Linked DNA regions of Caenorhabditis elegans. The protein of the gene in region 1 purifies or fractionates together with the protein of each later gene. This does not show direct contact. Each region holds a gene or a part of one and is shown in the gene's direction. Other genes may lie near its edges. The genes, in order: mtm-1 and lst-4.

Evidence for each region.
Region 2: the proteins of mtm-1 (region 1) and lst-4 purify together in Caenorhabditis elegans (affinity purification with western blotting, with the first as the bait; one study listed by BioGRID). This does not show direct contact.

Annotation. Positions count from the first base shown.
Region 1 is NC_003279.8:5,132,200-5,139,496, forward strand, and holds mtm-1 (Phosphatidylinositol-3,5-bisphosphate 3-phosphatase mtm-1), read left to right. Parts: upstream 1-2,539; 5' UTR 2,540-2,567; coding exon 2,568-2,607; intron 2,608-2,675; coding exon 2,676-2,747; intron 2,748-2,790; coding exon 2,791-2,897; intron 2,898-2,952; coding exon 2,953-3,171; intron 3,172-3,511; coding exon 3,512-3,682; intron 3,683-3,727; coding exon 3,728-3,909; intron 3,910-4,077; coding exon 4,078-4,562; intron 4,563-5,000; coding exon 5,001-5,203; intron 5,204-5,251; coding exon 5,252-5,336; intron 5,337-5,385; coding exon 5,386-5,489; intron 5,490-5,540; coding exon 5,541-5,639; 3' UTR 5,640-5,772; downstream 5,773-7,297. Other genes in the region: pfkb-1.1 (6-phosphofructo-2-kinase domain-containing protein), read left to right, coding at 44-110, 168-311, 360-620, 1,128-1,721; tyms-1 (Thymidylate synthase), read left to right, coding at 6,071-6,272, 6,317-6,768, 6,825-7,109. UniProt on the Caenorhabditis elegans protein: Lipid phosphatase that specifically dephosphorylates phosphatidylinositol 3-phosphate (PI3P) and phosphatidylinositol 3,5-bisphosphate (PI(3,5)P2). Negatively regulates accumulation of PI3P on intracellular vesicles.
Region 2 is NC_003282.8:14,061,778-14,071,182, reverse strand, and holds the start of lst-4 (Sorting nexin lst-4), read left to right. Parts: upstream 1-2,712; coding exon 2,713-2,988; intron 2,989-4,153; coding exon 4,154-4,375; coding exon of another isoform or gene 4,376-4,450; intron 4,451-6,520; exon of another isoform or gene 6,521-6,523; coding exon of another isoform or gene 6,524-6,560; intron 6,561-6,781; coding exon of another isoform or gene 6,782-6,981; intron 6,982-7,755; coding exon 7,756-8,112; intron 8,113-8,152; coding exon 8,153-8,493; intron 8,494-8,558; coding exon 8,559-8,662; intron 8,663-8,717; coding exon 8,718-8,795; intron 8,796-8,854; coding exon 8,855-9,021; intron 9,022-9,405. UniProt on the Caenorhabditis elegans protein: Involved in the signaling of vulval development by acting as a negative regulator of epidermal growth factor receptor (EGFR) signaling. Aids in phagosomal membrane tubule formation which is required for phagosomal fusion with endosomes and lysosomes.

The DNA of each region.
Region 1 (7,297 bases):
AAACTATGAAGAAAAAAAATTAAAAAAATTCCTGAATTTTCAGTGAGTGCGCGAAATTAGCCATTGAAGATATGGGAAGGTACTTGGATAACAAGGAAGGAGAAGTGGCGGTGAGTTACAAAGGAAAAAATTTCAAAAAAATATATAGACATAAACTTTTTATTCAGATTCTCGACGCGACAAATACTACAAGAGACCGACGAAAGCTTCTGATGGAGTTTTGCAGAAATATGATGCACGAGCCACCATTCCGTGTCTTCTTTGTGGAATCTGTTTGTGATGATCCTGATATTATCAACTCGAATATCACGGTAACCTTTAGATCTTCAAAATAATCACCTTAACCCGCATATTTTCAGGAAGTGAAAATCAATTCGCCAGATTATAAAGGAATAATGTCTCAAGAGGAAGCAAAAGAAGACTTTTTGAAGCGTATCGAGAACTATCGAATGCAATATGAGCCACTTGATGAGGATCATGATGAAGAGCTGAGCTATATCAAAGTTATCAATGCCGGAAAATCCTTCTATGTTCACAATGTTAATGGTCATGTGCAGAGTCGTGTTGTGTATTTCCTGATGAATATTCATCTTCTTCCAAGAAGTATTTATTTGTCAAGAGTAAGTTTAACAAAAAAACCGAAAAAATTTTGCGCTAAAAATAGGTAACAGGTCTCGACGCGAAAATTTTTATTAAATGCCAAAAAGTGTGCGTCTTTACAAACTACTGTAGTTTCATTTTTTTTGCTGCCGAGTTTTCATTGAGTTTCAGTTTTCTCACGATTTGCTGTAAAAACGTTTTTATTTTTTATTTCACTTTTTGATAAATTAATATTTTTTTACCAAACAAGCTAAGAGAGCCCGTAAAAAAACTTGAATTTTAACAAATCGTGAAAAAAAAAGAAAATCAATGAAAATTCCGCAGCAACGAGAGTTTGAAATTACAGTATTCTTTAAAGGTGATGCCTTTTTTCATTTAACAAAAATGTCGTGTCAAGACCGGACACCGGTTTTTTTGGCACAAAATTCCGTTTCTGGGATATAATTCATTCAATTAACAGCACTGAGAATTATCAAGTATTTTTAAACTTTTATAGTTTAAAAATCCCTTTAAAAAATTTATTACAGCATGGAGAAAGTGAGTACAACAGAATTGGTCGTCTTGGTGGTGATTCCCCACTCAGTGAAAATGGTTTAAATTACGCTGGAAAACTTCGCGAATACTTCGAAAAAGAAGATTTGGACGATTTCCGTGTTTGGTCATCTCAAAAGATTCGTGCCGCCCAGACAGCTTCTCATCTGAAAGATCTCGCTGGTCATACAGAGTTCTGGAAATGTCTTGATGAAATCGATGCCGGAATATGTGAAGGATTAACTTATGAAGATTTCGAGGCTCGTTATCCGAAACAATTCGCTGAAAGAGATAAGGATAAATATCACTACCGTTATCCAAGTGGGGAATCATATGAAGATCTGGTTGCTCGTCTGGAGCCAGTTATCATGGAGCTTGAGAGACAATCCAATGTCCTTGTCATTTCTCATCAAGCAGTTCTCCGTTGCATTCTTGCCTATTTTACTAACAAAAATCGAGATGATCTTCCATATCTGAAGGTTCCATTGCATACAGTCATCAAGCTCACACCAAAAGCCTATTCCTGTGAGATTGAACTTTTCAAATTCGACATCGAAGCAGTCAATACTTACAGAGAGAAGCCACAATAGGAAGTATTTATTCTTTATCTAGCCAATTATCTATGCCAAATGTACATTTATTTTTTCATACAAGTTCCCATTTTTATGTCGGGCGTTTTTTTTGAGATTGCATTTTCCCTGTTTTTGAACAATTGCCTTTGAATTTAAATACGTTGTCGTTTATGTGAGAGTTATAAAGATTACATCGATTTCAATTTTATGGACTGATTGCAATATTTCTCGCTGTGTCATTTTCTACAATAATCTATTTTTAATGTATTAAACGGTCAGGAGCCACATTAAAAATTTAAAAGAAAACCAAACAAGAACGCGTAACTGAGTTGTTGTTATTTTAAAAGAAAAATCAATTCATATAAAAATTAATCCTTAAAGGCGCAGAGATTTATTCAGATGGGTCCCGACGCGCAAAAAAGTTTATGGTAATTGTGTTTGAATTTTTGCGGCTGCTTCCTCGTTTATTTTTCTTGCATTTTTCAATTTATTAAGGGAATTTTGTCGTTGTTTAAAACCATTGTATGAAAAAAACACAGGAAATCCCACATTTTTAATGGAAGTAGTTTATTTGTACTTTGAAAACTGATTTTAAACATATTCTGACAGAAAAGTGAAAAGAAAACGACATCTGAATAAATCCATGCGGTTTTAAAAAGGATTGCCAAAATATTGTGAAGTTACGATAAAAACAAAGCTGAAGCAAGTTGTATTTATTTTCTGCACATACCTGCGTCTCTTAGTGGCCTTCTTCTCTCTCTCTCTCTCTCTTTCCCAATAATCGTTCCACTATTCGGCTTTCAAACATTCTCATACACTTTCAAAAATCAATTTACAGGAAAATTGATCGAAATGTCAATATCAATGGATGACAGAGGGAACAATAGTGGAGAAGTTGGAGAATGTGAGTCATCACGAACTATTTCGTTATGAAATTTCGTTATTTGAATTCAATTTATTTTATCATTTCAGTTGCCAGTTCATCAATGATACAAGAATCAATAGATCTCAAATTGTTAGCCGCAGAAAGTCTTATTTGGACAGGTTGGAATTGATTTTTTAACAATTATAATGTGAGGAATTACAGAGAAAAATGTGACATACTTCGGACCACTTGGAAAATTTCCAGGTAAAATCGTAATTACTAGGTATCGAATGGTTTTTCTCGTTGGTGATGGTGGAAAAATGTATGAGGTTTGTGATTAAAATTTTAAAATTATATTTTACAAATATAAACAAAAAATTTCAGCAATGGAAGCTCGATATTCCACTCGGACAAGTGTCTCGGATAGAAAAAGTTGGTAGAAAGACGACGAGTGTTGCCAAACGAGGCGATGATAATTATGGATTCACAATTTATTGTAAAGATTATCGAGTTTATCGATTTACATGTAATCCAGCATCGAGTGATAGAAAAAATGTTTGCGATTCGTTGAATAGATACGCTTTTCCGCTATCGCATAATTTGGTGAGTTTTTTTTTTAATTTTAATAGGGGGCTTTTGGCTCTAGAACTATTGGAAATGAAAAAAAATTCTGATATTTTTTTTTAATTTACGAAAAAATAAAATTAATTATTCATTTATTGGTTAGCAAAAAAATTAAAGTTAAAAAAACACGGTATCGTAATTTCACAAGTTTTCGCCTTAGAAAGCCGCACGGATTTCTTCAAATGGGTCTCGGCACGCAAAAAGTTTATTGTGTAGATTTTAAACAATCAATGATTTATTAAAAACTTACTTGACAACCAAGAAATAGACAGCCTAACTTGAAAAACAACATTATTCAACCAAAAAAGGAAATTTTCAGCCAATGTTCGCCTCTGTACATGCAGCAGAAACACCTAGACTTATGAAAGATGGTTGGAAAATTTATTCAGCTGAAAAAGAATATGAACGCCTTGGAATCCCGAATTCACGTCTTTGGAAAGAAGTGGACATTAATAAAGACTATAAATTTAGCGAAACTTATCCAAGAACTGTAGGTTAATGATGGTTTTCTTTTTTAAAAATAATTTTATTTCAGTTTGTAATTCCGACAGTATCTTGGGAGGAAGGAAAACCATTTGTAAAGAAGCTCGGCGAGTTTAGAAGCAAAGAAAGAATTCCCGTGTTGAGTTGGATTAATCAGACAACTTTAGCTTCAATTTCACGATGCTCACAGCCAATGACTGGAATTTCTGGAAAAAGAAGTGCTGAGGACGAGCGGTAGGTTTTATTTTTATTTTTAATGATAATAAAAAATAATCGGAATATTAATATTCTAATATGCTGAAATGTCACAAAAGAAAAACGAAAAAAAATATTTGGAAAATCGTTTATTAAGATATATTTTTTAAAGCATTCAATTTTTCAACAAAAAATTATATTTTTCAGACATCTCACGAACATTATGAATGCCAATGCTAATTGTCGTGAACTTCTGATCCTTGATGCAAGACCAGCAGTCAATGCAAAACTTAATAAGGCAAAAGGTGGAGGTTATGAAGAGAATTATGTCAATGCTCCTCTAACATTCCTCAATATTCACAATATTCACGTTGTTCGGGATTCATTAAAACGATTGCTAGCCGCGCTGATTCCACGTGTCGACGAGAAGGGATACTACAAAGCGTTAGACGAATCGAAATGGCTCAATCATGTTCAGAGCATTTTGGAAGGAGCAGTAAAAGCTGTCTTCAATGTTGACACTGAAAAACAATCAGTATTGATTCATTGTTCTGATGGTTGGGATCGAACTGCACAGCTGACGTCGTTGGCAATGATTCAACTCGACTCCTATTACCGTACAATTGAAGGATTTATCGTTTTGATTGAGAAGGAATGGTGTAGCTTTGGTCATAAATTTGGAGAGAGAATCGGTTCGTTTTTGATAGATTTTAAAAATCATGCAATTAAAGTTGCAGTAGCGTGAATGAGGATTTTGCTTTTTTTAAAAATCCATTCAGAAAATTTTTAAAAAAATCAAAAAAATTGCGAAAAAAAATCCAACTTAAAAAACTAGATTTTTCAGTTCTGGCGAAGTTCCCAGTTCTCATCTTGGGGAAAATTCAAACAGGAAACTTACTAGGGAACACGATAACTATAAGTTATACTTATAGTTATCGTGTTCCCTAGTTAGTCAAAATTGATAAATCGAATTTTTTAAAATTTGAATTTTTCATCCGTTCGCAATTTTATTTCGTTTTTCTGTTGTGGTATTTCTGAATTTGAGAAAAATTTGGAATTTTTTGAAGCTAACAACTATAAAAAATATTATTTGAGAACCAAAAATCTTTGATTTTATACTTTCCGTTCAGGTCACGGCGACGATAACTACAGCGATGGAGAACGATCTCCCGTATTTGTTCAATTCTGTGACTGCCTATGGCAAATTATGCGACAATTTCCATGGGCATTTGAATTTACACAAGAACTGCTAATTTGTATGCTCGATGAGCTCTACGCTTGCAGATATGGAACATTTTTGTACAATTCCGAAAAAATCCGGCTGAAGGATAAGGTTGTTTTCATGAAGATTTTTTCAATTTTTTTTTTTTCAACTTTTCAGAAATGCGATGAAACGACGATATCGTTCTGGTCCTATGTTTTGGAAAATAAAAAGAAATTCAGAAATCCAATGTTTAAGCATGGAAGTTAGTTTTCTGTTAAACTAATATTAAATCTCAAAATTTTAACTTTCAGAATCCAATAAAGTGATAAACGTAAACCCATCTCTCTGCGGTTTACATGTATGGATTGATTACTACGCCCGATCGAATCCATATGTAGTTACTCCAAATCATGAGGTAAACAGCAGTTCCGCTAGAAAATGATAATGAATTAATTAGAAGTTTTAGGATGTTCAACAGCCAGGCGCACAGTTTGTCGACGAGAAAAAGCAATTGTTGGATGAGATTATGGCTCTTGACGACGCTGCTCAAAAATTGACCGCCTAGTTATTTTAATTATGCTCAGTTATTCAATTTTGTTGTTAGACTTTTAAAAATTTAATTTAGAACTTTTCACTGTGATTTCATTTTGCTTTCTTTATGTGCATTGTACAATATTATATGAAAATAATTCATCTTTAAATATTATTTAATTAAATACAACAGCTGTTAAAATTAAATACAACAGCATAATAAAGAATAGACTGTTAACAGTCTATTCTTTATTATTCAAATTCAAATTTGCCGCCATTATCGTTGCTGACGTTTTTCCAGGGAGCGCGCGAAACACATGCAATTTTCAAATAGGAAAAACAATTGATCCAGTATTTTTCCTTCCTTGCTTTGATTTTATTGCTTCAGACTTATTATTCCGATCTTAAAAGTCAAATTAATTGATTAAATTCTTTAAAAAAGTAATTCATTTTCAGATGGAAGTCATGAACAAAGAAAATATCATCGCCGATGCGCCTTCTGATGTCGTAAAAACCGTTCAACAGCAAGTTCACTTGAATCAAGATGAATATAAATATTTGAAGCAAGTTGAGCAAATTTTGAGAGAAGGAACACGAAGAGATGATCGCACTGGGACTGGAACTATTTCGATTTTTGGAATGCAATCGAAATACTGTTTGAGAAATGGTAACGCTTTCGATTTTCCATTTTAAAAATTAATACTTTTATAGGCACAATTCCGTTGCTTACCACGAAACGTGTCTATTGGAAGGGAGTTCTCGAGGAATTACTTTGGTTTATTTCTGGATCGACCGATGGAAAGCTTTTGATGGAGAAAAATGTGAAGATTTGGGAGAAAAACGGCGATCGCGCGTTCCTTGACAATCTCGGATTTACGTCTCGTGAAGAAGGAGATCTTGGACCAGTTTATGGATTTCAATGGAGACACTTTGGGGCGAAATATGTGGATTGTCATACAGATTACTCTGGACAAGGTGTTGATCAGTTGGCTGAAGTTATCCGACAGATTAAGGAGCAACCGGATAGTCGAAGAATCATTATGTCCGCGTGGAATCCGTCGGATCTTGGACAAATGGTTCTGCCACCGTGTCACACAATGTGTCAGTTCTATGTGGACAATGGAGAGCTCTCGTGTCAGCTTTACCAACGAAGTGGAGATATGGTGAGCAAAAATTTCAATGTAGTAAATTACATATTTTACTAGAAGTTAAATTTCAGGGTCTCGGAGTTCCATTCAACCTTGCCAGCTACGGCCTTCTCACCCACATGATTGCAAAAGTGTGTGGATTGAAACCAGGAACCCTTGTTCATACTCTCGGAGATGCTCATGTCTACTCAAATCATGTGGATGCTCTCAAAATTCAACTGGACCGTGAGCCATACGCTTTCCCCAAAATTCGATTCACGCGAGACGTGGCCTCAATCGATGATTTCACTTCTGATATGATTGCCCTGGATGACTACAAGTGTCATCCAAAAATCCCAATGGATATGGCTGTTTGATTTATTTTGATGTAACATTTTAACACTCATCTAATTGTTTTCAGTTTTATGAAAATAAACATTGCAAGGCTTCTATATACACTACGCATATCAAAAACATTACAATAGAATTTTTCCACATTATTCAAGAGAAAAAAAAACTTGTCAATAGGTTAGAGCCCCAACAGGAAATCGAATCAGTCATATTT
Region 2 (9,405 bases), on another chromosome or scaffold:
AACGACCGCGACGCAACGAGACAGCAAAACCGCATGGAGAGTGCAGAGAAAACGACATTCGCTTCGAGACCCTTCATCTGCAGGCCACCAATGCGCCTTTGATCTCGTACTGTCTGCGTATCACTTTCTCATAGAATTCTAGCGAGAATGTGGGAAATTTGTGAAAAATCAGGGTAAATTGACAATAACATAAATATTTTCGCGGGAAAATTCGAAAAATTGCTGATTTGATATCAGGAGAAATCGAGAAGAACTGAAAAATCAGGAAAAAACCGGTTCACCTTCCACCGCCTGGCAGGACAATCCGATTTTACGATCTCGCGTTCGGTTTGACCGTTTTTTTCTCTGCGCTTCTCGTATTTTTTTTCCGAAGTTGATTGGCTTTTGTGTTTGTGACCATAAAGCTGCTTCCTTTCATATAACTGTATTGCTTGCGTCACCCCCGGTGGTTTGTGTTGCGAAACCGTTTTCCAGATGATTTCGCAAGATATCGGATGTCGTTGGCTATGTCTAATTATATTTGTTTGAATAGGGAATTTTGTTGCTTTGCCGAAAAATATGTGCTAAACGAACACTTTGTGTGTTGTGTTTTCGGAATAATCGCATTAATTCTAGAAAAGTCTATAAGGAAGATTATAATTATTTCGTGGTCAATAATAAATTGCTGATCTTCTTATAAAAAAGTATAAAATCATAGATTGATATCACTGTGAAAGAAAAATTCTTGAAAATTAGTTGAAAAAATAATAAAAAATTGCTTACTGTAAGCGCGCTCCAATGACAATTTTTGGCTGTAAGTGCGCTCCATTGACAACTTTTTGCGGCGGGAATTTTAATATTTGAATTTATTTCGAAAAAAAATATTATTTTCGAGCGATAAAGGTTAATTTTGTCAGGTTTTTATGCGAATTTTTCCCATTTTTCTAAAATTAAATTGAACTGGACCCTTTCTAAAGTTTTTTCTGTGAAAATAACGAAAAAGCACTCTGTAAATTCTTCAAATTGCTGCATTTTGTCTTTTAACAGTGTTTTTTTTTACCCAAAAATGCACTTTCCCACCCAAAATTCAACAATTTTAATCATATGCCTATGGAAATTTGACACCTATTCCTCCTCCTCCCTAAAAAACTTCCCAATTTCACCAGTCATCACGAGTTGCCGCGTTGTGTATTGAAATATTGGCTGACTCATTGTTTATTTTTTATTGATTTCTCATATTCTCTGCTCGCTCGCTTTTTTTGACACTTATCAACTGAAAAACCTTGCTGAAAATTCAGTTTTACTCTTTTTCTGGAATATTTTAAATTAAAAATTAACATTTTTTTCAGAGAAATGGCTCAGGTGAAAGCCGAGTATGATTTTCAAAGTCAACCAAACACAGGCGAACTGTCAATCTCGGCTGGCGAAGTTTTGACGGTTATTCGAGAGGTAAGAGGCTTTTTGAGCAGGTGGAACAGAGTTGTTCGAGGATTTTTTGAATCGTAAAATGAAACAATCGGCTAAATTAATTTTGAATTCCCGCGTGAATAAATCGGCGTTTTCCCGTTTTCTGGCGAAATTCATCTGTTTTTTCTTAATTTTTTGTTTAATTTTTGTTTTAAAACACTGATTATTCGTTTTTCAGGCATTTTTCCGAAGCGAAAACTCGATTCCTCGAACAAAATACGCAGAAACTTTAAATCTGGCCAAACGTTGATAATTTACATAATTTTGTCAAACAAAAAAAAACTGATAAATGGTGTAAATTCATTGGTTTTGTCAGATTTCCAGGCGTTTTTCCTGAAAATTTCTTATCAATATATGAAATTCCTGATTTTTAGGCCAATTTTCGTCCGGAGAACAAGTTTTCTCCGCGGAAAAATGTCTGAAAAACTGATAAATGGCGTTTTAATTCAAATATCTCTTTAAAAAAATAAGAAAAACGAAAGAATTTACCCAAAAATGGAAAAAAAATCACAAAAAGAATTTATTATTCGATCATTTCAGCCCATTTTTTTCTATAATTTAAAGCAAAATCAAGAGTTTTTATTTCAGAACATCGACGGAGGATGGATAGAAGGTCGAAACGTGCGTGGATCCGTCGGACTCTTTCCCGAATCCTACGTAACTCCCTATCAAGCTTCTCGTCCGCCACCGGTAACCCATTTGTCTTCTAGTTAACCCACTTTCTCATCTATTTCCGGTTTTGATTGTATTTTGTGTGTGTGTGTGTGTGTCTTCGTTGTGTGTCTTCGTTGTGTGCATTTCTGCGGGGAGCATCTAAATTGGTTGTGGTGAGCCAAAAGCATCAAAATGATTGAAATTGCCTTCTCATCAGCATTTTGAGCTGCTGGAACCCTCTAGAAATCGCTGAATCTGATGCTTGTTTCCGAAAAATATTCAAAACGGAGAGAAAGATGAGTAAAAGCCCATGAAATTTGAATAATAAAAAAGATGGTGGAAGAAGAACGCAACAAAGAGGAGTGAGATGAAGCGGAAGAGACTGGAACAAAATAGAAAAAAAAAGAAAGAAAAACTATTTTGAAATTGGTTTTTCCTCGGGTCCCTGGAGACGTTCGGATCCTCCTACTCACTTGAAGACGGCGGTCCAGATACTTGAAAACAAAATAAGTAGATTCTCAAAGAAGCTCTATATACCTGATTCGTCTTATATTCCACTCATTCTGCCAAGAGATTTCCTACTTTTTATCCGACTTTTCGATCTTTTCGCGAATGCTCTTCACATCGAGTCTTCGAAAGGCCGTTGAGAACTACCCAACACCACCGGGCGGCTCATCTGAAGATGCTCATCGGCAGCTTCTCGAACGTCGTCGCAAACAGATGCTTCGACGACACACGTGTAGTACACTCATCAAACAAGACACATCTGCTTCACCGCATAAGATGAAGCCACCTATTCTGATGGAGGAAGAGGATGAACAGCATTCCACTGGGAAGCACTCGTCTAGAAAGAGCAGTTTTAAGAAAAGTGGAGCAATATCGAAGAGTGTAGGGGTTTTGTGTAGAAGATAATCTTTTCGATTCTTTCCAAACCTCTCAGAAATTCCTCGAAATTCTGAGGCAAATTCATAGGTGCACGTGGTGTCAGAGTGTCTCATTTCGGTTTGACCTACGTAGATCTACAAAAAATGCGGGAGAAGAAACGCAGAGTTCTCCACTAATTTCGTATGGTTAAGAACGTGCTGACGTCACATATTTTTGGGCGAAAATGCCCGCATTTTTTGTAGATCAAACCGTAATGGGACAGCCTGGCACCACGTGTAGGTGCCAAACAGAGTAAATTTTGACAATTTGAAATTTACATTCGCTCACATGGTGCCAGGCCGTCCCATTACGGTCTGATCTACAAAAAAAATGCGGGAATTTTTTGCCCAACAATGTGACGTCAGCACGTTCTTTACAATTCAAAATCAGATGAGAACTCTGCGTCTCTTCTCCCGCATTTTTTTTGTAGATCAACGTAGATCAAACCGAAATGGGAAACTCTGACACCATGTGTTCGCTACCAAACTTAATGAGGTCGATCCTCAAATAGGACACCGCTGGAGACTCCACAAAAGCTCACAACAGATTTGTTTTGTTATTCTACAGTAATCCTACAGTACTCCTACCGTACCATATCACAAAATAGAGCTCTAGTAGTTGGTTACGGGTCTCACCACGCTGACAACAAGTTTCTGTTACTCGTGTCGATTTACAGTTGTCAGCGTGGCGAGACCCATTTTCTTGTGACGTATACGTAATAACTGTAGCTCCCAGAGTGCTCCATTCCGGCTTGATCTACGTTGATCTACAAAAAACGCGCGAATTGAGACGTAGAGTTATCCACTGATTTCGCACAGTACCATTTCGCTTTGATCTTCGAAAATGCGGGAGAAGAGACGCAGACATCTCATCTGATTTCGCATGGTTAAGAGCGTGCTGAAGTCACAATTTTTCTTGAAAAGTATCCCCGCATTTTTCGTAGATCAAACCGCAATGAGACAGCCTGACACCACGTGTGCACGGTTAAAAACGTGCTGACGTCACATTTTGTCGGGCAAAAAATCCCGCATTTTTTGTAGATCAATCCGTGATGGGACCACATGACACACAGATCCCATTTCAATTTTCTAACTTTTTAAACAATTTCATAAATACTCAAAAATTCCAGGTCCTACCACCACCACTCCCACCAACTTCAAGCGGTCCACCAGCTGCCTCATCGCGTCCTTTTGATGATTGGGGAGGCGCTTCAGAAGTTGCTGCTCCACCATCCTACGGAGCCCAACATCATCATCAGCCAACGCCATCTGTACCGGAAGTCACTAGATCTTCATATCCATCACAGAATGATGATTTTGACGATGAATGGACGGATGAGGATGATGAGCAGGTATTTTTAAAATTTTATTTTAATTTTTTGATTGTCCAGTTTCTGTCCGTCCTATTTATACCCTCTAACTCCTAAATCTATATATCCTAAAAGACCAAACGAAAAGTCCAAAAAGAATAGTCATCCTCCTCAAAAATCGCCGGGAAACGACATCGTTGTCGTCGCCGCCGCAACTTGGTTTCCGGTAGAAGTCGTCTCTCCACTCCGTCGCCGCTGGACCCTCTTCTCTTCGGACATTTCATTTCTAATCATTCGAAATTCTCTCTCTTCGTCGTCGGCTGCGACTATTTAAATGTCATCCAGATTTATTTGCTACTACTACAACAACTTCTGCTGCTGCTGAAATTTTCGCGAATGCTGTTTGCTCGTGGACGATCCTCGAGCTTTATCGCTCTAGATCATCTACAAGTTAATCAGTCGCCGTCGTTTCAAAATGTAAAGGACATTTTTATTTAACTGGGATTTTTTATTTAGAATTTTTTTAAGTTTATAGGTTTTATTAATTTTACTCCAACTAACTCTAGCATTCAAAGGTTTTTTCTTAATACACGTGAAGTCAGAAAGTCCCATTTCGCACTTTGATCTTCGAAAAATGCGGGAGGTGAGACGTAGACATTTCAACCAGGGGTGTGCGGCAAATTTGCCGAATTTGTCGAATTTGCCGTTTGCCGAGCTCGGCAAATTTCAAAAAAGTAGATTTGCCGAATTTGCCGAGCTCGGCAAATTTCGAAATTTGCCGCACACGTCAAAAATTTGACAGTACAATTTTGACTAAAACTATTGATTTTTTAGCCAAAAATTTAGTAAAATGATACAAAATTGAGCTATTTTGATGCTTAAACAGACATACTACGCGGAACTTATTCAGAAACCAGATGTGTGTTAAGAATTCAGTAGTTTTGGTGCTCCAAAAAACATAAAAAAAATATCAAATTTTTCCGAGTTTGTTAAGCACGGCGAGTTTGCCGAATTTGCCGAATTTGCCGAGCTCGGCAACTTTGCCGAATTTGCCGTGCTCGGCAAATATTGAAAAAAAGAGATTTTCCGAATTTGCCGAGCTCGGCAAATTTTGAGATTTGCCGCACACCCCTGATTTCAACTGATTTCGTTGATAGCGTGCTAACGTCGTAATTTTTCTGGGAGAAAATTCACGATTTTTTTGTAGATCAAACTGTATTGGGACACACCGCTCCACTGCAAATGAAAACTCTCCGCCCCCAATAAAATAGGTCTCGTTGGGTATTAAACGTGCTCAAAAAAATCATTAAAACAACGGAAAATTCTCAAAAATTGGCGAAACTGATACCTAACGCCAAATACACGGGGTGTCAGGCTGTCCCATAACGGTTTGATCTACAAGACGCGGGAATTTTTCGCCCAGAAAAATGCGACGTCAGCACGCTCTTAACCATACGAAATTTGCTGAAAAATCTGCGTCTAAATTCCCGCATTTTTTGTAGATCACGCCGAAGTGAGACACTTTGACACCAATACCTAACGAGACCTATGGTTCGGGGGCGGAGCACCTTTTCATGTCGGTTTCAAAATTAATACTACGCATACAATTAAAAAATCACCCTGAAAAACAAAAAAAAAACCCAAATTTTCTTCTCAAAAATAGGGATATCCCTTCTCAACTGCTCTTTGCAACACCCCGCGCTTTATATGTGCAAGCATCTCTCCTGATTGCTGCTATTGAGAATCCCCCAGCACTCTCCACCAGCTCATTTTTGCTCTGTCGCCACCCGACGCCTCTCGAAAACTATCATCATGTGTTGAGTCTTTTTTGGTGATCCTATTGGATATCCATACTCACATATATATATATATATGTATATATATATATATACATATATCCATATATATATATACATGCAAAAATGCGTCGACTGCGTCAATCGGACGCCGACGTCTTCTTCTATAACCGTCCTATTCCTATTACTGAAATTCGTGGATTTCATAGGGCGAGCGTCTCGTTCTCACCGTCGTGGGTTCGTTTTTAGATATTTTAGGGGAAACGTTCAGCGTTCTAGCACTTTTTGTAATCCGTTGATTAAGGAACACCGTCTGTCCGTCCATGATCAAGTTGTGAATTATCAAAACTCGATTCGTCATCATCATCATCGTGCAAGTGGGTCTCGAACGGATATGTCCACTGACGACGAGACGAGGAGTAGTCAGCAAGGTTATTAGAATAGTTCTTGTCGGCGAAGCATTCGGACATCTATTACACATTCGTTGGAAGGTTAGATATTGAAGAAGAGATGATGTTCCTCGCAACGAAAAAACGTGGAGCCACGTGGCTTCTCTGTTTCTCTCTTTTCGATCTCTCATTTCCCGCGAATGTGCAATTACAAGATTTTCAAAGCATAGTGGCTTTAACAACGCTCACACATCTCATTGCAGACGGTGCCTACCCCTCTAGCAAAAGAAACGGTAGTGTGGGCTCGTCTACCCGCTCCACGAGCACCAAAAAGCGCTTGAGTAGGCAAGATAGCACCGCCCGACGGAGACGTCTCAGTGAGGAGAGAGATAGTCGACGGAGAGTTGAGAAGTCGGTGAGCTCGTGTTTGAGCTCGAATCGGTCTCACCACGATCAGAATAAGGTTCGGGTTGTTCGATAAGTTGTTTCAAGTGGTGTCAGAAAGTCTCAATCAGGGCTGAGCAGTCGCCCAAAAAAATCGGCGATCGGCGATCGCCGATCGCCCAAACTTTTTTTTTTTCGGCGATCGGCGATCACCAATTTCCGAAAAATTTCGGCGATCGGCGATCACCAATTTCCGAAAAATTTCGGCGATCGCCGATTGCCGATCGCCGATCGGCTATTTTAACCGAGTTATTCGGTCAAAACACCTTTCCGTTTTTTTGTTTGGTAAGGAAATGCGACGAAAAATTAACATTTACTCAAAAAAAAAATTAAAAACAACAAAACAATCGTTTAAAAAAAACATGAGATTTTAAAAATCGAGATGAATTTATTGAAAAATTCCATCGGCGATCGGCGATCGCCGATCGCCGAAAAATCACGAAAATCGCCGATCACCGATCGCCGATTGCCGCTCACCCCTGGTCTCAATGCGGTCTGATCTACAAAAAATGCGGAAATTTTTCGCCCAAAAAAATTGTGACGTCAGCACACTCTTAACCATGCGAAATCAGATGTCTGCGTCTCACTTCCCGCATTTTTCGTAGATCAGAGCGAAGCGGGACTTTCTGACTCCACGTGTTGTTTGAGGCGTACGGGACTGCTCGTTGTTCTGATTGGCTTAAAGTATCAAGCTTCCTTAACTATTGAGGTTGTTATGTAACGCATGCATGTTTTCCTTATTTGTGTCCAAAAAGTTATAAAATAAAAAAAATCAAAAAATTCCGATTTCCAGGAACCAACTCGGCCCAACGTTCAATCCTCGATCGGCTCGAACTCCCGTCGTGACCTCAGCCGTAGCCACTCGGAACACGGTGGACCTGATCGAGGATCCAATAAGGTCAACAAGAACATCAATCGATTCTCGAATTTTGTAAAGTCCGGAGTCGAAGCGTACGTGATTGGTGAATCAAAGACCACCTCACAGATTAGTGAACGACATGAAGTTGTGATGAACAATGGAATTATTCAATGGAAACCGATTCAACAGTACTACACGTGTATAGTGGATAAACCGAAGAAAGAGTCAAAGCTGAAAGGGCTGAAGAGCTTCATCGCATATTCGATTACGTCGAGTTTGACTAATATTCAGGTAAATTTGTAGATTTCGACGCTTACTAACCGCTTGCTAGCGTCAGGTATCCCGTCGCTACAAGCATTTCGATTGGCTCCACGAGCAGCTATCGGCTAAATATGTGCTCATTCCGATTCCACCGTTGCCAGAGAAACAGGTCGCCGGAAGATACGAGGAGGATCTTATTGATCATCGGAAGCACATTCTTCAGTTATGGGTCAACAAGATTTGTAGGCATCCAGTGTTGAGTCAGTCGGAAGTTTGGCTCCACTTTATCAGTTGCACCGACGAAAAAGATTGGAAGAATGGGAAGCGGCGAGCTGAAAAGGATGAATACATTGGTGGAGCTTTCCTGAACTGTATCACTGTTCCACATCAACCATTGGATCCGAATAATGTGTAAGAAACTAATAGAATTCTACGCAGAAAGTTTGATAATCCTGCGTAATCCTACATGTTTCCAGCGATATGCAAGTTGAACGATTCCAACGGAGCGTCAAAACATCGGAAGAAGCGATGCGTGTGATGCAGGAGAGAATGAACATGTTCCAGAAGGTCTTCGCTGGACGTATGTTGGAAATTTTCGAGCTTTAAAAATTTAAATTAAAAAAATCAAATTTCAGCGGTAAAACAAAATTGGCAAAAGATGGGAAGCGCGTTCAAGACACTTCAGCAATCTTTTGAGATTGATGAGACCGTTGGTATGAATCTTTGGATTTTTAAAAGTTCTTGGATAAATTTAAAAATTCTAATTTTTCAGCCAGTCGCCGCCTGACAGAAGCTCTCGCCTACACTGCATCAGAATATCATGAAATTGGGCAAGTATTCGATGCGCACACGAAGAATGACATGGAACCAGTGCTTGAGAACCTTTATTCGTATAAGGGAACAGTGCAAAATGTGCCGGATATTATTCAAGTGCACAAGGTACTGAACAGAGGCCCTTATATCCTGAAGTGGAAGAGTTTTTGAGGGTTGGGAAACTCTGCCAGGACCGCGACGCAGCCGCGTGCGGAGCGGCTCGAATTAATGTTTATTTTAGACGTTTGCCAAGAATGCGTGATTTTCCTTCATTTTTTGGATTTTTTTTGCGTTTACATGGAGGTTGTCAAATTTTCGAATTATAACAAATCTAAAAATATTAAATTTTTAAGAAATAAATTGAAAATGTTCGTTTTTCCGTTTTTTCGAAAAATATCTTTAAATTTTAACAATTTCTTCTTTTTTTAAGGAAAAGTTTAAAAAATAAACAAAACTTGGTAAAAATAGATTTAAAAAACCTTTATTCTCTGAAAAAATCGAAAATTTTGA